Linked DNA regions of Rhinolophus ferrumequinum. The protein of the gene in region 3 interacts with the protein of the main gene of each other region in a biochemical or structural test. Links are inferred from orthologs where the notes say so. Each region holds a gene or a part of one and is shown on either strand. Other genes may lie near its edges.

Region 1 (3,750 bases), on a different chromosome or scaffold from region 3:
TCAGGATCTTCTTTCATCTGAGACTTAAAGTATTCGATTAACTCTGAGAAGAGAGAAAAAAGTGACTCATCAAATTTGTTTATCAGGATCTAAGGCCGGAGAACTTGTCAATAACTGTTGACCTTAAGAAGCAACATAATTTAAAAACTACTTTTCATGTGTTTGGCTTTCAGGGGAATGATAAATGTTGATGGGACTAGAGATGACAGCTACTGAATGATAGTGAAAGGTCATTCTCCCTCTTATCCTTGACCCCAAGTTCTGAGAGAATTCCAGAGTCAACCATCTTATCAATTTCTCCTGTACCCCTGCGGGCAGTCTATGCTAAGTCAAGCCTGTTCACATATAAACTTATTTACGTGTATGTAGAGGTCAATCCCCTTTTATCTTTTTAACATGAAAGTTTGCCCTTGTATTTCACTTAATAAAACACTTCGATCACCACACTAGATGACCACATCAAACACGGCTTATTCTCTCGATTCTAGTACCAGATCCAACAGAGCAGGGAGTCTTATTCCTATCCCACATATGGGGAAATCAAGACTGCGAAGACCTGACACTTCGTCTAAAGTCTTACTTTTTTGGACGAGGGCAGTGGAAAGAAGCGTGTGGAGAGGGGGTGTCTGCAGATGCTCTCAGAGACCATCCCCTGGATACCGGAGCAGCGAGAAAGATTAGTTGTGACTAGAGGAACCACATCCAGCAGAGCAACCTAAGTTTGGAAAGTGACCTCTCCCTGAGCCCAGCCTGTGTGTGCGAGGTGGAGGGACCCCTGAGCGGCTCCGCTTTGGTCCTAGCAGGCCCATCCCCTCCCGATTTACCCTTGTCGTCCATGGTGCCCTCCGGACCGCAGAGCCCGAGGGGCCCGGAGCCGCTCGCGCTACCTGCACGAGTCGGGTGACCGCGCGGGCTCCGAGCCACAGAGACTGACAGCGCGCGGCGCGGCTCCGCACTCCACTTCCGGCGCTTTGGGGGCGGGGCCTCGGTCAAACCGCCTCTGACGTCATTTGACAGCGCCGGAAGTTGGAGAGCGCCACATCCGGGATGCTCTTCTGATTGCTCTTGGCCCTGCGCTGAGGAACCCGGGCAGCCATGGTCTCAGACGGTGAGGGCCGCGCCGGGTGGGACCCATACCCCGGGGCTGGACCAACTAGGCCCGGCCAGGCCCGGCCAAATGGATTATATGGTTTGGGTTGGATGTAACCTGTTTGGTCTTTAGAGGAGTAACGAATGTATTCATTCATTCGTTCAGTAAATATTTTTGGATCACCTCCTTTGTGCCAGGCGTTATTTGTTGTATGTGCTGGGGAATGCAGCAGAGTACGTGACGGGCCCTCGTGGAGGTTGCAGTCTAGTGGGTGAGACAGACAATAGGCAAATACATAAAAATTTCGAAGGGGAACAGAGCTATGAAAACAATATAGTGGAATGATGTGGTAGATAGATTAAGAGTTGATTCAGGAAGGAGCTACTTTCGATAGTTGTCCAGGGAAGACCAGTGATATTGAAACTGAGCCATATGACTGCAAAGACCCCTGGCAAGTTGAGCCACTACTTTACAATGAGAAGACAGAAAAGGGGACCCTGGGGAAGGAGGAAGGTGGAGAGACTTTCATTCATATATCATCCTACCAGTTTCAGAGCCTGATGTCTTAAGGGAAGAAAAAAGAGACCAGGGTGGCCCGAGCCAGGTGGGCTAGAGGGATAAGATCAGAGGGTAGCCAGGTGCAGAGCCCTTGAGGGCCATGATAAAGAGCTTGAGCTTTACTTTTAAGTGTAATACAAAGCCTTTTTAGGGTTTTAACAAGGAAGTATTATGATCTAACATAAAATTGTAAAGATTTGTCTGCTCTATGGAAAATGGACGGTGGGAAACAGGAATAGAAATAGATCTATTTGGAGGCTGTGATTGTCCATGCTTGCTTTATCTGTTTTAATCCATACCACAACCCTGTGAGGGAGGCAGAGCTGGCAAGGCCCCTGTCTACCAATGAGGAGGCAGAGAACCAAAGAAGGACATTCACAGGGCATTGCATGTGTGTGAATACACACCTTTCATTCTTTCATCAGGCTTCTGGGTTTTTCCCCCCTTTTTTTAAATTAAAGTTTATTGGGGTGACAATTGTTAGTAAAGTTACATAGATTTCAGGTGTACAATTCTGTAATACATCATCTATAAATCCCATTGTGTGGTTCACCAACCAGAGTCAGTTCTCCTTCCATCACCATATGTTTGTTCCCCTTTACCCTTATCTACGAGCTCCCTCCCCCCTTACCTTTGGTAACCACTAAACTAGTGTCTGTGTCTGTGAGTTTTTGTTTCTCATTTGTTTGTCTTGTTCTTTTGTTGCTTTTGGTTTATATACCACATATCAGTGAAATCATCAGGCTTCTTAATAGTAGCAAGGAATGGATGGCCCGAGAATTGTGGGGTGGGGCCTGATGGGGAATAAGACCAAAGGCTTAAGGACTTATGGGTAGGGGAGTGAGGGCCTATGGGAGACACAGTCTTTAAGTGCTGCTTCTGTGCTAGGCCCTTTGTTGTGTGATTTACATGTGTTCTTTCATCCCAGGATTAGGATCCTGGGTTTTTCATAACAGTATGTGCTTCTGGGTTTGTATATGTGTTACCTCAATAAGAGTGTAGGCTCCTTGAAGGCGTGCACATGGTATGCGCAACACCTAACACCGGTACTTAGTGTGTTGAGTGAATTAACGTGTTGAGTTAGCCTGTTTAGTTATATCTGTGTTTGGAGAGCAGCCTAATTCCTTTCACAGTAAAATAGTCTTTACACAGGAATTGGTTTTCCCTCTTTGGTTTTCACCTCTTTAAAAATTGATTCCTAATCATAGCTGGCCTTGCTGCTAGGTCATTTGATGGATTCGGGACCAAATCGATTCCTGTATTCCCTGTAGCCTCCCACCCCTCTGCCGGAAATTCTACTACTAGTGGTTCTTACAACTGGTTATTCAGTGCCTTCTATGGTTGACCAGGCAAATATCTTTGGGTTCATTTAATAGATATTTATTCAGCATCCTCTTATGGCTAGGCTATATTCTAGGAATAGGGGATAAGCAGTGACAAAATAGACAAAAAATCCCTCTTCATGGAGCTTACATTCTAGTGATGAAAGATGCAGTGGTACAAAAAGCAGGCAAAAGCTTGCTAAGGACCCACAGAGCTTTAAATCTTTAAAAGAACTTTGCCTTTTGTTAATCTTGTGCTTGTAGGATTAGAAACATGTAAAGGCTTGTAGTGGTGTTTGCTCTGGATTTAATTTACTGATTGAGAATGTCGGCTTTGATCCACGAGGCTAATACTTTTTATTTTTCTTAATATTTTCAGAAGATGAGTTGAATCTTCTAGTTATCATCGTTGATACCAATCCAATTTGGTGGGGAAAGCAAGCATTAAAGCAATCTCAGGTAAGATTGCTTGAGGAGGCTTTTGGATGATTCTGGTAAAACAGTATATGTTTATATTGATTTTTTAAAAACAGCTTTAGTAAGGTATAATTTGCATACCATCATAATGTGCGATTCAATGATTTTTTAGTAAAAACCACAATAAAGTTGTGTAACCATCACCACAATTCTGTTTTAGAACATTTTTATCACCCCAAAAAGTTCCCTCATGCCTATTTATAGTCAGTCGCTGCTTGCACCACCTGTTGCAGACAACCACTCTGTCTCTGTATTGCCTTTTCTGGACATTTCAGAATGATTCCTTGCATATATGGTCTCTAA
Region 2 (3,750 bases), on a different chromosome or scaffold from region 3:
ATAATCTTTGGGCAATGTGAAAATGTTCTCAACCTCCTCCTCAATCAGACAATGTTCTTTAGTGCCGTAAAGGTAGTTTTCAAGCTCTGGGGTAAGTGCTCTCTATCTCTAAGCATCTGGCACAATGTCTTTGCTCACAACACACTTTCAAAGGTCAACTCCAGAAAAGCACATCTATGAACTGAAAGGTTAGCATTTATTCCAAGTTCTAAAGGAGCACAGGAGTGGAGGCTATGGTGAGAAAGGATAGTAAGGTGAGAAGAGGGAATGCAGAATTCAATTCTAGTTCTCAAATGTCCAAGGTGTCAAAAGAAGAATTTTAACATTAGGACAAAACTGGGCTCAGCATTAAGTCCTAGCTACTACATAATATGGCCCTTACCTTAATGTCTCTATTTCTTACAATCTAGCACCTAACAGGTTTTCAATTAACATCAAAGAGAACAAAGAAATCAAGAAGCCCAGTAGAGAGTAAAACAGGACTACCACTCGATATTTCATTTCATAATATAGTTTAGTGTTTAAGTACGTGGCCTCTGGGTTCAAACCGGTTCTGTCATTTATATCTCTCTGCTTCACTTTTTGTCATCTGTGAAATGGTGTGATAGGGTTGATCTCGGGATTAAGTGAGTTAATATATGCAAAGCACTTAGAAGAGTCTTTTTTTTTTTTAAGTGCACGTTTGACTTCCTTAATAAACAAACTCTTGAAGGCACAGTCCTAACTTCTGTCTTAGCCCGGCGCCCAATACAATGCTCAATGTCTGCATATCTTTTAAATAAAAGGAACTGACAATATACACTAGGCTACGATCGCCCAGGAGATTGACGTTGAAAGACGCGAAGGCCGAGAAGGGCCGGGACTCCACGACCCCCATCCGCGCGACGCCACCGCTCCGTCAAACAGAGCAAAGTCCTCTGGGAAGTGTAGTCATTACGCCTTGGGAGGGATTTCAGCCACGGATCGGAGTCAGTTAGTTTGCGGGGCGGGGGGGAAGGGGAGTAGTAGTTATCGGATAACTCAAAAGTGTCGGGAGCCCCAGAGGTGGGTTAAGCAGCTCACCTGAGTCTCCCAACACCAGTACTTTCACCCGATCCAGGGACGCCATCTTGCCATTGCCTTCCTGGGGTTAATACCAGTTCCGGGTTGTAGGCCAATCAGAGCTGGGCATGGAGGGCCGAGCCCTCAATTTCATTGACCAATCAGAGAATGACCATCTTGATTGAAGGCTTCACTGTGCTGATTGGCCGGCCTGGTTAAAAGAAGCGGGTGGTTTCCAAAGCTGGTCGCAGGAATAAAGCGTTTTCTTTGTCGCTCGAGTGGCGTGACACGTTTAAGCCGGTAGTTGAGGCGCTGAGGGAAGCTGTAGTGGGAGTGTTCGAGGATTCGCTTTGGTAAACCTTGTTCCCTGTTTCTTGTTCTCGGTTCCCTGGCCCGGAGTCGCATTTCAGGGTTTCTCTTCCTTTTCGCTCCTGGCCCTTAGCCACCCTCCTCCCCTTAGCTACTCTCTTGACTTGGTCCTCCAAAGAACCATTGACCCCGGAGCGTCCCGTGTGCGACCTCGGGTAGGACGGGCTTGGCTGCGCCGAGTGTGGCCCCTGGACTCAGCTGGCAGAGTCCGAGGAAATGTGGGGTCTCGCAGTGGGGAGGAGCGCACGTTATTGAACCCGGCTCGTGGAGGGCCGCTGGGTCCAGAGTTCGCGGTGGTATGCAGCTGTATATTTGAAGGCGTGGAGAGTACCATGCAATATGGTAACTGAGAAAACCATTTAAATGTGTAGGATCCAAGTTATTCCACAACTGGAGTAGTAGTATGCTGAAAAAAATCTAACTGGACCTACCCCCCCCATCCTATCCTTTCTCCTTTTATTTTACACTCTGCAGTCAGCATAATCTCTTAAAATTGCGAATTTGATCCTGTTACCTGCTGCTTAAAACCATTTAAAGTTTAAGAAGAGGGTTTCCAGTAGCTTTTTCTAACTCTGGAAGCAGCAGTGGAGGAAGTAAATTGGGGGGAAGCTGTCCGGGTGGGCATGTTGGAAGAACGCGTGCTTAGGACATCTATTGAAAGTTTTATGGAAGTAATTTGACTAGCTGTGCTGGATGCTGGAAAGTCAGTGGTGAACAAGATTGAGTTCCTGGTCTCAGAAATAATCGGAGAATTACAAGGTTATTCACTGTAACGAAGAAGGTTGGGAAAGAGCTATGGGAACTTGTGAAAGGGGTTAATACTAAGCTACTAAGGCGTATCTGGGAAGGTCTCTTTGAGGAACTGTCACTTGAGCTGTGGAGGATTATTAGGAGAAGAAAGTTTAGGCAGAGAGAACAGCATGTGCAAAGGCCGAAAGTGGGGAAGGCGTGTGTGGCACGTGGAATTGAGATGACGCTGACAAGGGTAGACAGAGAATGCATTCATTTAAATTTTGTTTCTGCAACTGTGCTTGGTACACAGTAGTTCTTCAGTGATTGTATGATTAGAATATATATGATTTAAAAACAAAAGCAACTTGTCTTTGGGGGTCTGTGCTGGGTAGGGAGGTATGTAAGACTGCGAGGTGACTGAACCTCAGGCTAAAGATGGAAAAAAGGCTTCCCCTAAGAGGTCACGCACTTAAAACTTTCTAGAGGCTAGCCAAGTGACAGCTGCTTTTCAGCTGCAAGTTATCGTTTCCATGTGGGAACATGGTCTCACTTTTCCTCAGATAGTTCCAATTTTCAAGAGGAGCTGAAAATTGAGATTTATGTGAGATCCCACTATTTTAAAATGTTGACGACTGATTCAGAAAATTTTCAACAGTCTTTGGGTCAGACAGTATAGCAGAGGCTGCCAGTTAGAGACCTCTGACCTAAGTAATTTAAGGAATCCAGAGATTGAGTAGGAGGTTTAGCATATGTGGGGAAGTACAAGTGATGGAAGAGAGAAGGTATTGGTCAGGGAGGATTTTACAATGTAGAGATTTTGAACAAGATGACTTCTTTCCTGAGCTTCAATTTCATTTGTGCAGCTACCTACTGGATGGACATCTTCACAGGACTATTCCATGGTATTTCCTCAAAGTAGGCAACTAAAAGTGAATCCCTCAATTCCTTCCAAACCTGTTCCTATTCAGGCGTTAACCTATTTTTCATAGTAGTAGTTTTCCTAGTTACACTGGCTTAAAACAAATAGCTATATGTTATTGTTTAATAAAATATTGTTTGATGGTATAGTGTTTCAGTTTTATAAGATGAAATATATGGAGATGGATGGCGGTGATAGTTACACAGTAATATGAATGTATAATATCACTGAACCGTATGCTTAAAATGGTTAATTGGTAAATTTTATGTGTAGTTAACCACAATAAAACTATTATTAAAAAGCAAATATTTAAAATTTTTCTTCCCTCTTACTCCATTTCCAGTATATTACTAGATCCTCATTTTGATTTTGTTTCTGTAATAAGTTTCATTCCTGAAATTTTTTTGCTGTCTTTCTTAGTTCAGGTTTGATTATAACAGCTCCTAGTCCTTCCTTAATCCTCCATCTTCACTTACCTCAGGCCATTCCTCGTATTATTGTCACTTTTCTGCATAGGGGCTCTTATTATGAATGCCAGTACTTAATGGAACTCTTATGATGTTAGCCTTGAAAGCAGCATACTATACATGAATTATCTCATTTAATCCACACATCAATTCTATGAGGAAGGCACTGTTAATCACTTTTCACATATGAGGAAACTGAGACTGAGGATTTTCCAGGGTCAC
Region 3 (3,750 bases):
TAGTATCTTCTCTTCCCCTGCTTTATTATCTCTATAGCACGTATCGCTATGATCATAACATTTTACTTATTTGTTATGTACTCTTGTTTGAATGCAGGAATCTCTTTTTTCCTGCTGATTTCTCAGTATACAACAAAGTGGCACATAGTAAGCAATCAATAAATACTGAATAAATGAATTGTGTTTGATTTGGATGCAAATCTTATGAGAATCAAAATTTGAGAACTGATCACTGTTAACACTTAATAAGCACTTACTATATATCCAAACTCTGCATGTCTCATTTAAGCCTCACAACAGCCTATGATGTATGTGGTCTATTATTATTTCCACGTTACAGAGTAAAAAACTGATGACCAGAAGTCTGTTCCACAGCACAAAACTCTAAAGTTGACTTGGATTTTGTTTGCCTAGGCGTGCTTTTTCATAAAGAGACTAGACTAAGAGACTAGACTAAGTAAGAATGCCTCTTGAGCAGCTCTTAACAACTGGGCGCGCTCTAAGTAACCTGAGATTGCCGGGCTAGGCGTCCATAGTAACGGTGCGACAGAACCCTTTAGCGTGAACCAGACAGAGAAATCAGGTGGACCAACCCTATCATACTCATACATACCTATCAAATCCCGAACTCAGAACATCATAGAACGCTGACCGGTCCCCGGTAGTGAAGAAAATACATAAGTTAAAACGGTAAAAAAGTGACACAGGTTAACCACCATCGAAAACTCCCCACTTCCGGTACCAACGGGCGATCACGTGACAGGGCGGGGAGCGGCGCGGAAAAGCCAACGATCCCTGCCTTCCATTGGGTGGGCTCGGGCGGGACTTATTTAATAGCAGCCACGCCTATCCCGGAAGTGGGGGCGGAGCTAACAAAGCGTCGGAGCCTAGTGAACGGAAGTGACTGTTGGAGGCTTTAAGGTAGCTTTAAATTCCTGCTGTTTTGGGCGCTCGCCCTTTTCAGCTGGAGTCGGGATTCGCGTGACAGATGGCTGTGGACGTGAAGTCGCGAGCAAAGCGTTACGAAAAATTGGACTTCCTCGGGGAGGGCCAGGTGAGGCTATCGGGGACTCGGCGGTGCTGAGCGGAGACCACGGAGCCGCCTCACACCTTCACAGGTTTTCTCTGGCCTGGCTACTCGTTCTCTTTGGCCAAGGCTGCCCAGAGGCAGCTGTTGCCCCTCCATACCCTGGAGATGAGCCCTGAGCGGCCTTCTCCTTTCTGAATGATAGAGAGGAACGGGACGTGGACAGAACAACTGCCTGTACGTTTCAAGCCGCCGAAAGTCCGCTGCAAGAACCCTGGGTTCTTTGCTTCCCAAAATCTAAAGTAAAAAGGCAAACACGAAAAATTGCCACAAACTTACGTTATTTCTCTTTTTTCTCCAGTTTGCCACGGTTTACAAGGCCAGAGACAAGAACACCAACCAAATAGTCGCCATTAAGAAAGTGAGTTACAGGGTTTGGTTTTTTTTATTTGAGTCTCTTAAGAAGTAGATGTGTGCGCTGGTGGATGGCCGTTTTACTAATCTTGACCATGTTCTACTAATGAATTACTTATGTCATTTTCATAGGAAGAATAATTTATTAGTGTCCTGTGTTCCAAAATGGAGCTCGAATTGAACTATTCTTTTCTATTAATTGAAATGAAAAGGAAACAGTATGTTATGTTTGCTTTATTCGACTCAGTCTTTGGCAAAGGGGATGAGTACTGCCAATCTGCTGGGTCCTCAAACTATTTAATATCATGATCTTCCCTATTTCTGCCTCACCTGCATCCACTCTATGTATCTGTCATATCTGTATTTTCTGTGTACAGATTTATCATGAAAGGCTTTCACCAACATGAACAACATTGATGTGCATGCATTTTTAAAAATGATTTAAGTAGCTTTTTTATTTGCATTCATTCAAGAAACTTAGGCCGTATTTAGCTAACTTTATGTGCCAGGCACTTTCACCTACATTTTTTCATTTAACCCTCAAAACAGCCTTGCGGAAATAGGTAAAGTAAATGTCTCTGTTTTACACTTCAGGTACCTGAGGCTGAGAGAGGACTGTGTTTCCCCGAAAATAAGACCTAGCCGGACCATCAGCTCTACCGCGTCTTTTGGAGCAAAAATTAATGTAAGACCCAGTATTATGTTATATTGTATTATATTATACCCGGTCTTATACCGGGTCTTATATTAATTTTTGCTCACAAAGACTCATTAGAGCTGAAGGTCTTATTTTCGGGAAAAAACGGTAGGTGACTTTCAAGATGATACAGATGGTTAGTAATTGTTAAAGCTAGGATTTAAGTCCTGCTGCCAGGTTGATTGCCCTTTCCCATACTACAAAAATCAATAACCCGGGCCAGCCCGGTGGCTCAGGCGGTTGGAACTCTGTGCTCCTAAAGCCAAAGGCTGCCGGTTCGATTCCCACATGGGCCAGTGGGCTCTCAACCACAAGGTTGCCAGTTCAACTGCTGGACTCCCACAGGGGATGGTGGTCTCTGCCCCCTGCAACTAACTACAGCAACTGGACCTGGTGCTGAACTTCGCCCTCTACAACTAAGATTGAAAGGACAATAACTTGACTTGGAGAAAGTCCTGGAAGTACACAATGTTCCCCAATAAAGTCCTGTTCCCCTTCCCCAATAAAATCTTAAAAAAAAAAAAAAAAAAAAAATCAATAACCCTCTCAAGGAAAGGCTGTTTTTCTCACATCTCAAGGCCTATTGGTGAAGTAGGGGACTTCCACCTTTGTATTGCTACTTTGTTCCTGTTGCTACTTTGAATCTGTTTCTTCTTCAAAATCCCTAACTCCTTTGAAGCATATCTACCTCATTCATTTAACACTAATACCCTCTCTTCCTTGGCACAATTATTCCTGCCATTATCATCTTCTTTACTTTTCCTGACTTACCTCGTTTTCCATTTTATGTTCTGTAACCCAGCACTATAGCTACTCCTTTGTAAAACCCTTAATTCTCCCCACAGTTTTTATTTCTCTCTTTTTTAAATCTCCCAACCCTTTCTAAAGTTATCTTTTCAGTTCTATTCCCGGTAGGCTGTATTCTAGCCAACTGACCTTTTTGTTTCTTGAACACTTTAAATTCATTCCAATTCCAGGATCATTGCATTTGCTCTGCCTTCTGGCTAATACATTTTTCCTCTAAAACTTGGCATGGCTGATTCCTTATTTAGATTTCACTCAAATATCTCCTCCACCTAGAAGCTTTTGCTGCTCACTCTAGCTAAAAGAGGCATGCCTCCATCCTTCCCTAGGGTTCTTTGCCATATTTCTCTATCTTCATAGCATTTATCAAAATCTGAAATCCTCTTATTTATACATTTATTGTTTGTTTACTTCCATTCGAATTATCTTTAGAACTATGGCTAGTACATTTGTAGACACTCATTAGAAATGTATTGACTTCACTGAAGGATATAATCTTTTCAAACTGTTGGCATATTGAGTTTTACCAGTTGTCTCAAAGTCCTAGTGGGTTTTGTTTGCTTGCTTGCTTGCTTTAAACATAAATTAGGATAGAATCCATCCTGTTTCTCTGGACTAGACTTTTACTCCTTGAAGGTGACTCAGTGAAACCCAAGATTCCTGATTGAATGTATGGTTTTGATTTAATATGTAGCCCCGGCACTCTATTCGGTTTCTTCATAGCATGTCCTGTAAGCCGTAGCCCTTTCCCTTACTAGTCATTAACCCCCTGAGGCAGCCAGAAATAGTAGGCATACCTTGACTAAAA

The links.
Region 1: the proteins of CDK7 (region 3) and GTF2H3 form a complex in vitro, tested with the Homo sapiens proteins (2 studies listed by BioGRID). The link is inferred for Rhinolophus ferrumequinum from reciprocal best matches to the Homo sapiens genes CDK7 and GTF2H3.
Region 2: of the proteins of CDK7 (region 3) and GTF2E1, one has a biochemical effect on the other in vitro, tested with the Homo sapiens proteins (3 studies listed by BioGRID, with this or other methods). The link is inferred for Rhinolophus ferrumequinum from reciprocal best matches to the Homo sapiens genes CDK7 and GTF2E1.

What each region holds. Positions count from the first base shown.
Region 1 is NC_046308.1:4,295,653-4,299,402, reverse strand, and holds the start of GTF2H3 (general transcription factor IIH subunit 3), read left to right. Parts: upstream 1-1,019; 5' UTR 1,020-1,095; coding exon 1,096-1,108; intron 1,109-3,349; coding exon 3,350-3,429; intron 3,430-3,750. Other genes in the region: EIF2B1 (translation initiation factor eIF-2B subunit alpha), read right to left, coding at 1-43, 825-837. UniProt on the Homo sapiens protein: Component of the general transcription and DNA repair factor IIH (TFIIH) core complex, which is involved in general and transcription-coupled nucleotide excision repair (NER) of damaged DNA and, when complexed to CAK, in RNA transcription by RNA polymerase II.
Region 2 is NC_046285.1:46,089,606-46,093,355, forward strand, and holds the start of GTF2E1 (general transcription factor IIE subunit 1), read left to right. Parts: upstream 1-1,265; 5' UTR 1,266-1,394; intron 1,395-1,403; exon of another isoform or gene 1,404-1,752; intron 1,753-1,775; exon of another isoform or gene 1,776-3,057; intron 3,058-3,097; exon of another isoform or gene 3,098-3,750. Other genes in the region: RABL3 (rab-like protein 3), read right to left, coding at 1,063-1,108.
Region 3 is NC_046290.1:44,758,213-44,761,962, forward strand, and holds the start of CDK7 (cyclin-dependent kinase 7), read left to right. Parts: upstream 1-871; 5' UTR 872-988; coding exon 989-1,054; intron 1,055-1,106; exon of another isoform or gene 1,107-1,225; coding exon of another isoform or gene 1,226-1,264; intron 1,265-1,388; coding exon 1,389-1,448; intron 1,449-3,750. UniProt on the Homo sapiens protein: Serine/threonine kinase involved in cell cycle control and in RNA polymerase II-mediated RNA transcription. Cyclin-dependent kinases (CDKs) are activated by the binding to a cyclin and mediate the progression through the cell cycle.